3 linked regions of the Nothobranchius furzeri genome follow. The protein of the gene in region 2 interacts with the protein of the main gene of each other region in a pairwise test. Links are inferred from orthologs where the notes say so. Each region holds a gene or a part of one and is shown on either strand. Other genes may lie near its edges. The genes, in order: nbr1a, syt4 and sgta.

Region 1 (4,371 bases), on a different chromosome or scaffold from region 2:
CACACACACACACACACACACACACACACACACACACACACACACACACACACACACACACGAGGAAATCGCCATTTATATTCTGTTGCATAAAAAAATGTTCCTTTTTTGATTAACCGAGTAAAAAATTACATTTCAGAAGATATTAAGATTGTGTTTTGGTTTCGTCAATGCAGTAAATGATGCAGAAGTCATTCCATTTTTTTAATCAAATACAGAGCCCACGAAACTGATGTGAAATAGTTTTTTTTTAACATTTGAACTGCTAAAGCAGAGCTGATAAAACTCGAAAGTGACAGACGGAGGGTGTAGCAGACACTGACAGTGGAAAGATAAAAGAACTCAGTGTCAACGTCACAATATGTTACCAAAATGACCTATGTTGTGTATTGTTGTGTATTAGGGTAGCTGGATTATTGGGCAGTGGGTGATTGTGGCCAATACTGAAATCACATTTAACATTACAATTACTAATTGAGGTGGGAAACATTAGACATAGATGACATTTTAAGAATGAAAGTACAGATTGATGTCAGCAGGTGGCAGAATTGACAAGTAGACTAAATCATATGACACTTTAAATGAAAAAAGCTAAATTAAATGTATCACTATATATATATATATATATATATATATATATATATATATATATATTGTATATACATATATATACATACATACACACATATATATATATACCATACCATACCATACCATACCATTTTATTTATAAAGCGCATTCAACATGGCATTACAACCAGACAAGGCGCTGTAAATATATATATATATATATATATGGAAAAGCAGTTTATTTTACATATAAAGAAAAGTCTACTCTTGGTTTGTTAGAACTTGGAGTACAGGTGTCTAACAGAAAAAAATAAACATTTTTAAAAATTGTATATAAAATAAGATATATAAGATAAGATTAGACAAGAATACTCGTTTCCAACCTGGACTTAAAACAAGCGAGTTACGTGCAATTCGAAGCAAAGTATCCAATGAATTCTGATGTTTAGATTTTATCAAGGTTTAACAAGAACTTCGATTGGTCTGTTAAACGTTGAGTTAGCCCAGTGGTAGCTAAGGCCTTCGGCGCATGTGGGTCTAGCGGTGCAATATTTGGTTTCTAGTGAGAAAATTAAAATGGAACCTCACATCGTCCATCAGAAAAACGTATCATCTATCTCTTCCAGCACCTGCCTAAAATGTTTCCCAGACGTATGGTAGCAGGCGGGAAACAAGCACGTTAGCAATCGTTAATTGTTAGCAAACTGGCGCATATCATGCTACAAATGTGGCTAACATGCTACCAATCAACAATAACATATAGTAAAGCCTTCACTGGAGCTTTCGCTCGCGCTAGTCTCACCTTGGTTTTGATTTCATTGTCCACCTTGAGGAGTGAAGACATCTTCCGTGATCAAATACGTAAGTAAAGATTGTCCCACCGGCATATGCAGTAAACGTGTGGCTCCTTGCTTTTCAGCCACACTCACGTCAGCTTACAAATGACGACAACAGCACGCGACAGATGCTCGAGTGCGCCTGCGCGAGACGCCACTGTTATTTTCTCGACGCAGCTGACGATGTAAACAAGAAACGGCAGTCTAGAGCTAAACAGGGATCATACTGTCCGCTATCGTCGCAAATGGTTTCAGTTAAAAAAGCGTAGAAGGCTGTCATGGGGCTCCCAGTCACTATCAAGGTCAACTTCCGCGGGAATGTAAAGAGGTTTTTGGCTCAGGATTTGGACAAATTGGAGTGGGAGTCCGTCGAAGCCTGGGTAAGCGGCTGCTGGCTAAAAGCTGGCGCAGTTTGGTGAAAAGCAGGCCCAGACACGGCCTAGATGCGCGAGCAGCAGCGCACCTGAAGGACAATCGATACTGTCAACGGGATATGCGGAAATACCCGATTTTTCCAAGAGCTGCGGGAAATAATACGTTTAGTTTGGGCTTCTACGTTTATTTTTACACATATATTTCTATTTTCGATGTATTTTTTTTCCTGTGAAGGCCTTCTATTATTGATGTCACAGTCCGTCTGATGAATGATCGATTTAATACCATATAGGTAAATCTGACCCGAACTCTTCGACATTATATTTCAGATCAAAGCATCGTTTGGGATCAACTACTTTCAAGTCAAATACTTTGATGAAGATAATGAAGAGGTGAGATGCTTTTAAAATACAGTATGACCACTAGTCAGGAAGTATTAGACTTTATTTTTAAATAAATTGTTACAAATATTTATTTAAAATGTGTTTTAATTTTCAAATAATTAACAATTCTTTTATATCTTATTAGATTGCTATTACTCGTTTCTTAACTTAAAACAATGTGTTTTAATTGGGTTTAAGTTTGTTTATAAAATAGTTTGAAAACTAATTCTGACAGAAGAGCTTTGAATGCCAATTATTCACTCAAATCAATCAGCAGTGTTTACCTAATCAGTTGTGCTTTGTCAGTCTCAATTCGTAAAGAAACTTGTGACCATAGCTGTCCAAAAAAGATTGTGACATTTATAAAGCAATTTATTTTTGAATGTAAGAAATGGAAACGGCAATGATAAGACAAAAATGGGCCAGTGGCGAAAGTTTTGCATTTAAAAAGATGACATAATTAATTAATCATGATTTTATTTATCTTCTTGCTTCAGATTTGCATAAACAGTCAAGGTAAGAAAACATAGTTTGGGATTATTTTGGCATGTCCTACAGAATATGTAGGTTTTCATTTGTTTTTGTTTGCTTTTCAGATGAATATGAAGAAGCCATCAAGGTAAGGTGACCCTAGTGTCATTTAGTTGGTTGCCATGCAACTAATTTGTCATTAGTGACTCAAAAGACAAAGGAGCATGCTTATCGAGATGTAGCCAAATCTAAACAACACGTTCCTCTCTTGTGTGTTTTTCCTTTTATAACTTTTATGTGATGTTATTGCATCTCCACAGAGCGCAGAGAAGCAGGGGAACCAGTTACACATGAACGTGTATAAGATGAAAGGACAGGCCTGTGGAGGTCCTCTGAAGACAGAAGTGAAGGAGCTTAAAGGAGACCTCCGCCCTGCTCCCCCTTACCCATCAAGAGTCAAAACTGTGGAAAAAGGCACTCAAGTCACCCCAGAGCGTGAAACTGTAAGGAAACAACACATTTTAGTTATTTGTTGCTTTGTGTGCAATTTTTAAATTTTATTTAATAGTATTTTTACTTCTAAGTAGGACAAATCGTCTTGGCAATTTCTGTCTCGGCGTGTTGTTTCATTGACATACGTATGATGTATTTATGTACAGGTAGCGGTAAAAGACAACAAAGGGAACAGGCCCGAAGATGAGCCTCCTCCTATGTGGTTCAGGTCGTACATGGAAAAGGTTAGAGCACACTGAAAGAGCAAGTCAACCCCTACCAGAGTCTTACTCCACTCCCACTTCATGTTTGAAAAATGCAACAAATGCTGTTGCCTGGCAGACCGAGAGGGCGGAGCTGCTAACAAATACACAGGCTCACGACAGCATTGTGACATCATAACGTACCAGTTTACATCATAGCATACCTCTTAGCCAATAGCGGTGGCAGATTTAAATTAGAATACAGTGCAGAGTTTTTACCTGACAACGGCACAACACTGCCAGTTTTAGGCAGAACATTTAAATTTTAACTAAGATGCGCTGAAGTGCCAAATTATTGACGACACGTGTCTGCAGCACGATTAGACACTCGTTTATTTAGTTTATCAGCAAAAAATGTTTATTTGGGGGTGACTTGCTCTTTAAATAAAACAGTTCCTGTGAGTTAATGTGTTTAGCTTCTGCTAAAGCTAACAAGTCTTTTGTTATGGTAGTTTAAGGATGAAGTTGTAAAGGAGGTAGTGGAGAAGATGTGCAACGACTTCTCCGGGCAGTGCTGTACCCACAAATCCTCAGATGGACTCCATGAGGTTGGCGGTGCTTGCGGAGGTCTTGTGGAACCCGGATTGGGCCCCTCTGCTTCGAATGGATCGCTTGGCTACACCCCAAACTGCAGCACCTGCAACAAACTGACCTCTGAAGGGGCTTATAAATGCAGGTAGGCATGAAAGACTTCCAAGAAAACAACATGATGTAGCATTTTGTATTATAAGGGGTAGATTTTTATTAGCATGCATCATGTTTTCATACATTCTGTCTTTTCCTGGCAGTGTGTGTCCTTCCTGCATCCTCTGTGAGATGTGCAGACACAGCCACGACCCCAGTCACAGCCTCGTAAGAACCAAGACACCTCTCTCCATTCCTGAGCATGGAATGTCAGGAGAGTTTAGGTAAACTTTAAACTGAGGATCATCTGTCTACTTCTTGTTGTAATTTAAAGTTGTTGCCTTTTGGTTGTCACAT
Region 2 (3,652 bases):
GATTGATAAGCGGATTGGTGCTCATCTGCAGTGATGCAGGTGCTGTACCAACACATTCTCACACCCAAAGCGTCAAAATATGACGCGTGTGACCAAGTGTCACAATATGTTGATTTGGGATGCCCCAGCGCGTCAGGATAGGACACACAGGGACACGTTTCACCGCTGGCATCCGTATTTGACGCTCGCGGTGACACGGACATTATTCCTCGATTTAACCTTCCCCTCACCCCAATCCTAACCTTAACTCAGTAACTAAGCTGGTTAAGGTTAGAATGGGGGCAAGGGGAAGGTTAAGTAGTTCACAAGTCGGTCAAATGCCCTTTTCACCTCGGGCATCGGATACCGGTGCTCTGGGACAGCGCATCCTCAATGCGTCCTATCCTGACACACTGGGGCATCCCAAATCGTCATATTGTGACGCTTGGTCACACGTGTCATATTTTGACGCTTTGGGTGTGAGAATGTGAAAAAAAGCTGAGTCAGAAGGCAACGCTCTTGATTTACCGGTCGATCTACGTTCCTACCCTCACCTATGTTCACAAGCTTTGGGTAGAGACCGAAAGAGCAAGATACATGGCCGAAATGAGTTTTCTCCACAGGGCGTCTGGACTCTTCCTTAGAGATAGGGTGAGAAGCTTAGTCATCTAGGAGGGGCTCACAGTAATCAGTTGAGGTGGCTTTGGCATCTAGTTAGGATGCCTGCTGGAAGCCTCCCTGGTGATGTTTTCTGGGCACGTCCAGCTGGGAGGAAACCTAAAAGAAGACCCTGGACATGCTGGAGGGACTATGTCTCTCACCTGGCCAGGGAACGCCTTGAGTTTCCCCCAGAAAAGCCAACCCAAGCTGGGGATAAGGACTTCTGGGCCTCTCGACTTAGGCTGTTGCCCCTGCGACCCGACTCCTGATAAGCGGAAGAAAATGGATTGATGGACTGTGAGAGAGAATCAGGGATTTGCAGAATGATGAAGTAATCATCTAACAGTGATGCTTTGTCCCTTTCTCATGAACACAACTAAGGTATAGTTAAATATTAGGCTTTAAACATGTATTATTTTAAATATAGGGTTAGGGTTAGAGTTACCCCACCCTTCTGAATACTTTTAGCATCCATTTCAAATTTATCTTTATTTTATTGCTAAAACAAATAAAATAAGATAAATAAAATGAATAAAAGAGAAAAATAATAAACCTTTCATACAAATATTCACCCTCTGAACCTGCTTTGCCAAGATGGCTGAGAATTTTTACTTTTAGATTTATTTTTTTCTAGATTTTTTTAAGTAAAAAGAAGAAAACACGTTTCCTTAAAACAACTTGTGATGCTTTCAGTTGAAGTAAAACAATTTAGAATACAATTCAACTTTTAATCAATTTAAAATTGTTACTTTAAACTGTGCAAGACTCACTGAAATGCAGTATCCTAATTTATGTGTTTAGCTGTAGCCATTTTCTTGCAGGGTGGTGGCTTTCTTTGCCTGTAGGTGTAGGGTGCGCTGTTTTGTCACCATGCATATGTGAGCACAGACAAATTCCTGAATTAAGTACAATATAGTAATAATAATAATAATAATAATAATAATAATAATAATAATAATAATAATAATAATGCATTGAACTTATATAGCACTTTTCTAGACACCCAAAGATGCTTTAAACAATATAGTAAGTTTTATATTCCTGATAGAAAACATATGACTGCTTTTAGTCAACTCTCTGAATTTCCCCAGAGAAATGATATAAAATGCATTGGAACAATCTGTATAATGAGGTCTGAAAGTGTAACCATTTCCATGGAAACCTTTGGAAAATCCTCTTGGGTGTGGCGTGGGTGTGGAATCAGATACAATTGTGTCTGTGAAGCGCCATCAAAGTGACAAGTCTGTGACAAATAGATTTGGGAGTTTCACAAACGTGTGTTAGTCGAGATCTCATAACACCACAGAAGAAGAAGAAGTTACGAAAAGCACCTGCTTCGAAGCGGGTGTGAAAAGTGAGGACTGAAACAATAGCAGCAGGATTTCTAACCAGCAAAACTGTAGATTAGTATTAGAGAAACTAACATAATACTTTTATATACATCTGAGGCTGCGATGGACTGGCTCTCTGTCCGGGGTGTACCCCGCCTGATTGCCCATTGACCGCTGGAGATAGCCCCCCCCCCCCCCCCCCCCCCCCTCCCACGACCCTACGTGGACAAGGGGGTTCAGAAAATGGATGGTTGGATGGATATATATCTGAAGGTCGACTCATCTCATCTAACATATAACTTAAAATTATTAATTAATTTCTAAAGATACCTTTTCTTGTTTTATGCCAATAAAAGCATTTTGTAATCATTGATCCATTTGAAAACTTACATGCAAACTATAAAAAAGGAAAGCAATCCGGAAGCTGAATATAGAAAAAAGGCCCTCTAGTGGCTGGCTGCAGAATATGTTTTAAGCTCCACCCCCTCCATGTAAACAAATGGTACATTTCATGGCATCTGCCAGTGCGCCCCAGGGAAACTGTGGCTACATCATAGCTCATCACCACCGGGGAGTGAATCTGTGCATGCATGGGTGAATGATTGATAGTGTTGTAAAGCCCCTTGGGGGGTTCTAAGACTGTAGAAGGCGCAATATAAAATAGGCCATTTGTAATACAAAAACTAAGAGTAGTAATTAAGGTGTTGACTGCTGATTCATGTAGATTTTACCCTGCTGCTGTGAATAATAATTTTCATTAACATTTTTTCTGTTTTTAGACATTTTAATGCAGTTATAGTAATCAATGTGTTAATGTATCGAGAGGTTTTCATTTAAAATGTTTTCTCTACAATGCATCTTGCTGTTGAGAGACTAGAGTTTGTTTGATGATGATGCAATGGCTTACATCAAGGTGAAGCTGTGATGTTAGGTTAACTTCAAATGAAATGGCTATATTGTAACATCTTTGATGTTTGTGATTTAAATTCCATTTTGGCTCTCATTTGGAAAGCTCTAACCAGAATAATTCTGTTCTTCATCTCACTGCCATTTTTATTTCCAATCATCGTCTCTACACAGAAGTCTTCAGGGCAAGGGGAGTTGCTGCTGTCGCTGTGTTACCAGTCCACCACCAACACTCTGACTGTTGTTGTCCTCAAAGCCCGCCACCTACCCAAAACTGAAAACAATGGACCTACAGGTATGTTTTGTCTCATAATTTCAATATTATTTCTGGGACTGTGCCAACACATTTATTCAAGATACTTGAAAAGACACCAGACTAAATAAACGTTGCTCATCTAGACATGTTGTTGACTTAAGAAGTGGTGATAATTGCTTTTAGGGTTAGGGTTCACCACTGCTGAACCACAGTAATCCAGTCAGGCTGTGATAGTGACTCACACTCACACCTATACACCCAATGCTTACCCAGCCAGATTATTCTGACCTCATTGGCAATGCCCATTACTTCCTGTCCATTGATTTTTTTAATTGATCTCTCCTTTGAATAACGTCCTGCAAGTAACTGCTGTAAAGATGGATCTAAAGCACATATTTTCTAATTTTCATCTCTGTCATTCTTCTCTAGATCCATATGTCAAGGTCAACATGTACCATGGCAAGAAGCGCATATGTAAGAAGAAAACCCACGTGAAGAAGTCATCCCCCAATCCAGTCTT
Region 3 (4,336 bases), on a different chromosome or scaffold from region 2:
AAAGAGCCCTCGCCTGCTCTGCTCCTTCCGCTTGGAACCAGCTGCAGAAAACCTGGAAAATGACTGAGCAAGTTTCACTAAATGCCTTCAAAACCAAACTGACAGCTTCAGAGATTGCATTAGTAACTTGTAACTGCTTCTAATGACTGAGTGTTTTATCATTGTCATGACGTTGTAACTGTTTGTATTTTTGCTGCCTCTTGGCCAGGTTCTTAACCTCAATGGGTCTCTATCCTGGTTAAATAAAGGTTTAAAAAATCTTTTAAATCTTCCTTTCATTAACTAGAGCACATAACCTAAAACTCTTAGCTGATGAGGTTCAGCAGCGAGAAACTCAACAATGAACACCTGGCAGGAAAAAAACCAAACTAAACAAAAACTTTGTAATTCCACAACAACCCTAACCTGCAGGCACATTTAAAACATCTGATATATATATATATATATATATATATATATATATATATATATATATATATATATATATATATATATATATATATATATATATATATAAACACATGTAGAATTGTGAGATAAATTGTGAATTATTTTAATTAAAACAACAACGTAAATATATATTTACGTTGTTGTTTTAATTAAAATAATTCACAATTTATCTCACAATTCTACATGTGTTTATATATATATATATATATATACATATATATATATATATATATATATATATATATATATATATATATATATATATATATATATATATATATATATATATATAACACATGTAGAATTGTGAGATAAATTGTGAATTATTTTAATTAAAACAACAACGTAAATATATATTTACAGAAAAAAATGAGAAGGTTGCCAATGAATCTTGTATTTTGCTACTTTTGAAGGGTTCATTATTCTGTAATTTTAAATGTAAGCCAGTCCACAAATGTCTGAATATCACCTCAGGTCAGGATTTTATGGTTAACGCTTCAGTGTCATCAATCCTAACTGAAGTCTGAAATAAGGTGTGTGCACCCTGGAGTCCGTGGTGAATGGATGACTCTCCAAGTGTTCGCTACTCAAGCGGGAGTTTGAATTTGGAGTCCAGCTGTGGGTTCTTAGGCTGAAAGGTCAAGCTTCTCATGGTTGCTGTTCTGACGCGTTCAGTGGAAACCGGTGGTCATAATGTTATGGATAATTGGAGTAAATGAACTATACAAACAGACCAGCAGGGGGCGATGTCAAAGGGAAAGTCGCGCTTCACGTAGTTTGTCCCTGTAGGGCCGCCGTAGCGCTGAAAAATACAAACGCCTTTTCCATCGTTTTAAAGGTGAGAACAACTTAACAGGTAAAGATTCCAGTTAAACACCTCAGATGAACCCGCTCACGCGCCTTTAGCTGACCGCGTCTTCAGGAGGAAAGCTGCAAAAGTCTGTCCTCATTTATTTCATTTCTGCTCGTCGGAGGCGGAAATGATTCGTTATGAGGATTTTAGAGACACGGTTATTAACTTTATCTTTACTTCCTGTGAGGCTCTGGAGCCTCAGCAGGACGCAGCTCCAGGTCACGGGCAGGCTCGTGTCCGGAGAGGTGGAGGTGTTTCTGCGGACCCTGGAGCTGCCTGAGCCCCGGAGGACTGGCTCGTTATCCGGACTCCTGCAGAAGGACAGGTGGGTAGGGACGAGCTTCCGGTTCGGTCCTGGCTGCAGGCTTTCCGCGGGGTCTAAAAAGTCCTAACAGCGTTGAATTTAGGAATTTGGAAATGATTCCTTAAAAGGTCTAAAATGAGTGCGGAACGTAAATGACCCGTACCGTGTTTGTCCTCTAGAGTTTCATTTGTCAACCACCATCATTTTTATATTACACCTTATTGTTTTATAACGTAGCATAAATAGAGTGGCGGAACCAATAATAGAGAACCGCCTCGGGTCTAAATACTCCGAACACGTGACGTATTCAGCTCCCGCGCTACAGCAGCGATCCAAAACGGTAAACACACACCGTGTGTGTGTGTGTGTGTGTGCGCGTGCGCGTGGACCACACAGACCTCCAGCAGAGGAGGAACATAGAACATCTCAGCTCATGAGAAAGGCTGACTGACGCCTAGGGCGGGTTCCAGAACTCTGGACCTCTTTGGGACTGAGTGGAAACACTCGTAGGTCCCAGGGCCGGATTAACACTTTGTTACCCTGGGCAACAATATTCAAGGGCCCCATCATAACAACCCAAGAATCACCACAATATGGTCACATACAGAATATTTTACTGTAATATGCAGTAAATATACTCAATACTTGAATGCCTGACATCACGTAACCCGCTCAGGGTAACCTTTGACCCACCTCGTGTGGACTGACCAATGAGGAGAGGGTCTTAACTTGAGGCCCTCTCTTCTGGTCCAAGCTCTTTGACATTAAGTTTTCCACCATAGTTCTCCTCTCGAACGGATACTGGAGAAGAGACCGAACTGAATTCAGTGGCTGCTGAGATCCGGTATCCATGCTGGTTGTAGTCACCGGCGGCGTCCATGTTACATCTGCGTCACGACCAAAAACGTGCTGGAGTAGTCGAGACTCTCCGAGTTCTACCGAATACCAACGAAAGCCTTTGGCGGTAGCTCTATCGCCCATCATGCTTCTGAATCGACGTCGACGCTGATTGGATACATTCCCATTCCTACCGTTTGATTTTCTTGTCAGCAATTGGCCGGCAGCTTCCGTGCTGTTTGGGCGATTGAAACACAGCCTACAGCCTTTCTGTCGCCTCCACCGCTCGGCAGAGAGCTTCTCACCAATATAGATATATACATATATGATTTGTTTTTGTTACAAATCACACAATTAACTTAGAATATGTGATTATTGTTAATTTTATTTATTTTTTTTTAATTAAAATTAAAAACACTGGGGAAAACTGGGAGGGCGGCGCCCTATCACCCTCTACTGGCCAGCCGCCACTGAAAGCAGGAGATTACAGATACAGTATTTTGCTCTTGCCCTTGCTGCCCTGGGCCCTTTAGAGTTCATGGGCCCCTGGGCAATTGCCCAGTTGCCCATATGGTTAATCCGGCCTTGGTAGGTCCCAAATATCAGAAAAAAGTGTTAAAATGTCCCGATGTGCCACTGCAGGTCACATGACTGATCCCGGGTCACGTTATGAGTGGAGCAGGCGCGTCTCCTTTCAGCAACATTAACTAGAAAACAAACGTTTGGGTCGTTTAGCTAAAGTACGCAGCAGCTAAATGCATCAGCAGGAATAGCAGCAGTTTCACCAGCACCTGGTCGTGCAGGGCGGCATCTTAAGAGCTGGAACATGGAACGTCTCTGACTGCAACCAAGTCAACCCGAGTCCATCACCTTCCCAAGCCCTGGAGGAGTGTGAGGATGGAGGCTGATGACAGCAGACCTGGCTGCTGTTATAAAAGCAGTTCAGCAGGTTGTTGTTAACTGCTGTTACTGACATGAAGTCAGCACTAATGAAGCTGCTTTATTCATGTTTACATGTTGGGCCTTTACTGTTTGCACTGCAGCTTTGCTGGAATAAAGTATAATATCAATAAATATAATAAAATAATATAAAGAACACAACCTTTAAGTACTTTGTTATCCTCTCTTCTCGCCATCGTTAAAGTAGTAGTATGAATAAGTACTTCATGGTACCCAGCCCCACTGATGCTGTTATAGACATGTGTTACGTTTAGGGCTGCAACTAACGATTATTTTCATAATCGATTAATCTGTCGATTATTTTTTCGATTAATCGATTATCGGTTTGTTACTGTTTAGCTATTTAACCTATACAAGTGATGGATGCATTTCAGTTAAGAAAAAAAAACATAAGAGAATTGTGCAGTTGACTGCAATCTATTTTATTGCACATGAACACAGTCAGCAGTAGAAAATGAGCTAAACAGTGCAAAATATCAGTCCAGAATAATTTTTTAGCATTAGCTGGAAGCCTGCTCCTTCCACCATGGATAGTGGCCTCATGTCTTTTACCAGCATGTTTAGAATAGAGTTTGTAAGTGGTATGCATTGCTGGGGGGTGAGTGTCTTCTTCCCCATGTAGTTGTCCATCGTTGCTTGTTTTTTTCTGCATAAGAAACACAAATAGACTGAAATAAGTACACATATAAAATAAAGCAGCACACACACTACAACACTAAATCAATGTTAAATTATTTGAATTAATTAACAATATACAGTGATCATTTATTTTGAGGGTTACGTTCTACAAAATAGCCCGCAACAGGAGATATTAAGAAAAAAAGTCTAATTTTTTTACTATTAAAAAGCTCAGAGTAAGAAGCTCATGAGGTTTTTACTTTGAGTCGGGAGTGTTTAAATTAGCTAGAGAAATGTGAAAAATGTTTATTTTG

Evidence for each region.
Region 1: the proteins of syt4 (region 2) and nbr1a interact in binary tests that used the Homo sapiens proteins (3 or more experiments, as listed by UniProt). The two-hybrid records come from large-scale screens. The link is inferred for Nothobranchius furzeri from reciprocal best matches to the Homo sapiens genes SYT4 and NBR1.
Region 3: the proteins of syt4 (region 2) and sgta interact in binary tests that used the Homo sapiens proteins (3 or more experiments, as listed by UniProt). The two-hybrid records come from large-scale screens. The link is inferred for Nothobranchius furzeri from reciprocal best matches to the Homo sapiens genes SYT4 and SGTA.

Annotation. Positions count from the first base shown.
Region 1 is NC_091756.1:48,477,091-48,481,461, forward strand, and holds the start of nbr1a (NBR1 autophagy cargo receptor a), read left to right. Parts: upstream 1-1,554; 5' UTR 1,555-1,684; coding exon 1,685-1,786; intron 1,787-2,110; coding exon 2,111-2,173; intron 2,174-2,661; coding exon 2,662-2,680; intron 2,681-2,760; coding exon 2,761-2,783; intron 2,784-2,955; coding exon 2,956-3,138; intron 3,139-3,294; coding exon 3,295-3,372; intron 3,373-3,842; coding exon 3,843-4,066; intron 4,067-4,178; coding exon 4,179-4,298; intron 4,299-4,371. Other genes in the region: psme3 (proteasome activator complex subunit 3), read right to left, coding at 1,373-1,414. UniProt on the Homo sapiens protein: Ubiquitin-binding autophagy adapter that participates in different processes including host defense or intracellular homeostasis.
Region 2 is NC_091742.1:82,355,483-82,359,134, forward strand, and holds part of syt4 (synaptotagmin-4), read left to right. Parts: intron 1-3,050; coding exon 3,051-3,171; intron 3,172-3,561; coding exon 3,562-3,652. UniProt on the Homo sapiens protein: Synaptotagmin family member which does not bind Ca(2+). Involved in neuronal dense core vesicles (DCVs) mobility through its interaction with KIF1A.
Region 3 is NC_091748.1:79,890,755-79,895,090, forward strand, and holds the start of sgta (small glutamine-rich tetratricopeptide repeat-containing protein alpha), read left to right. Parts: upstream 1-1,488; 5' UTR 1,489-1,628; intron 1,629-3,805; exon of another isoform or gene 3,806-4,050; intron 4,051-4,336. UniProt on the Homo sapiens protein: Co-chaperone that binds misfolded and hydrophobic patches-containing client proteins in the cytosol. Mediates their targeting to the endoplasmic reticulum but also regulates their sorting to the proteasome when targeting fails.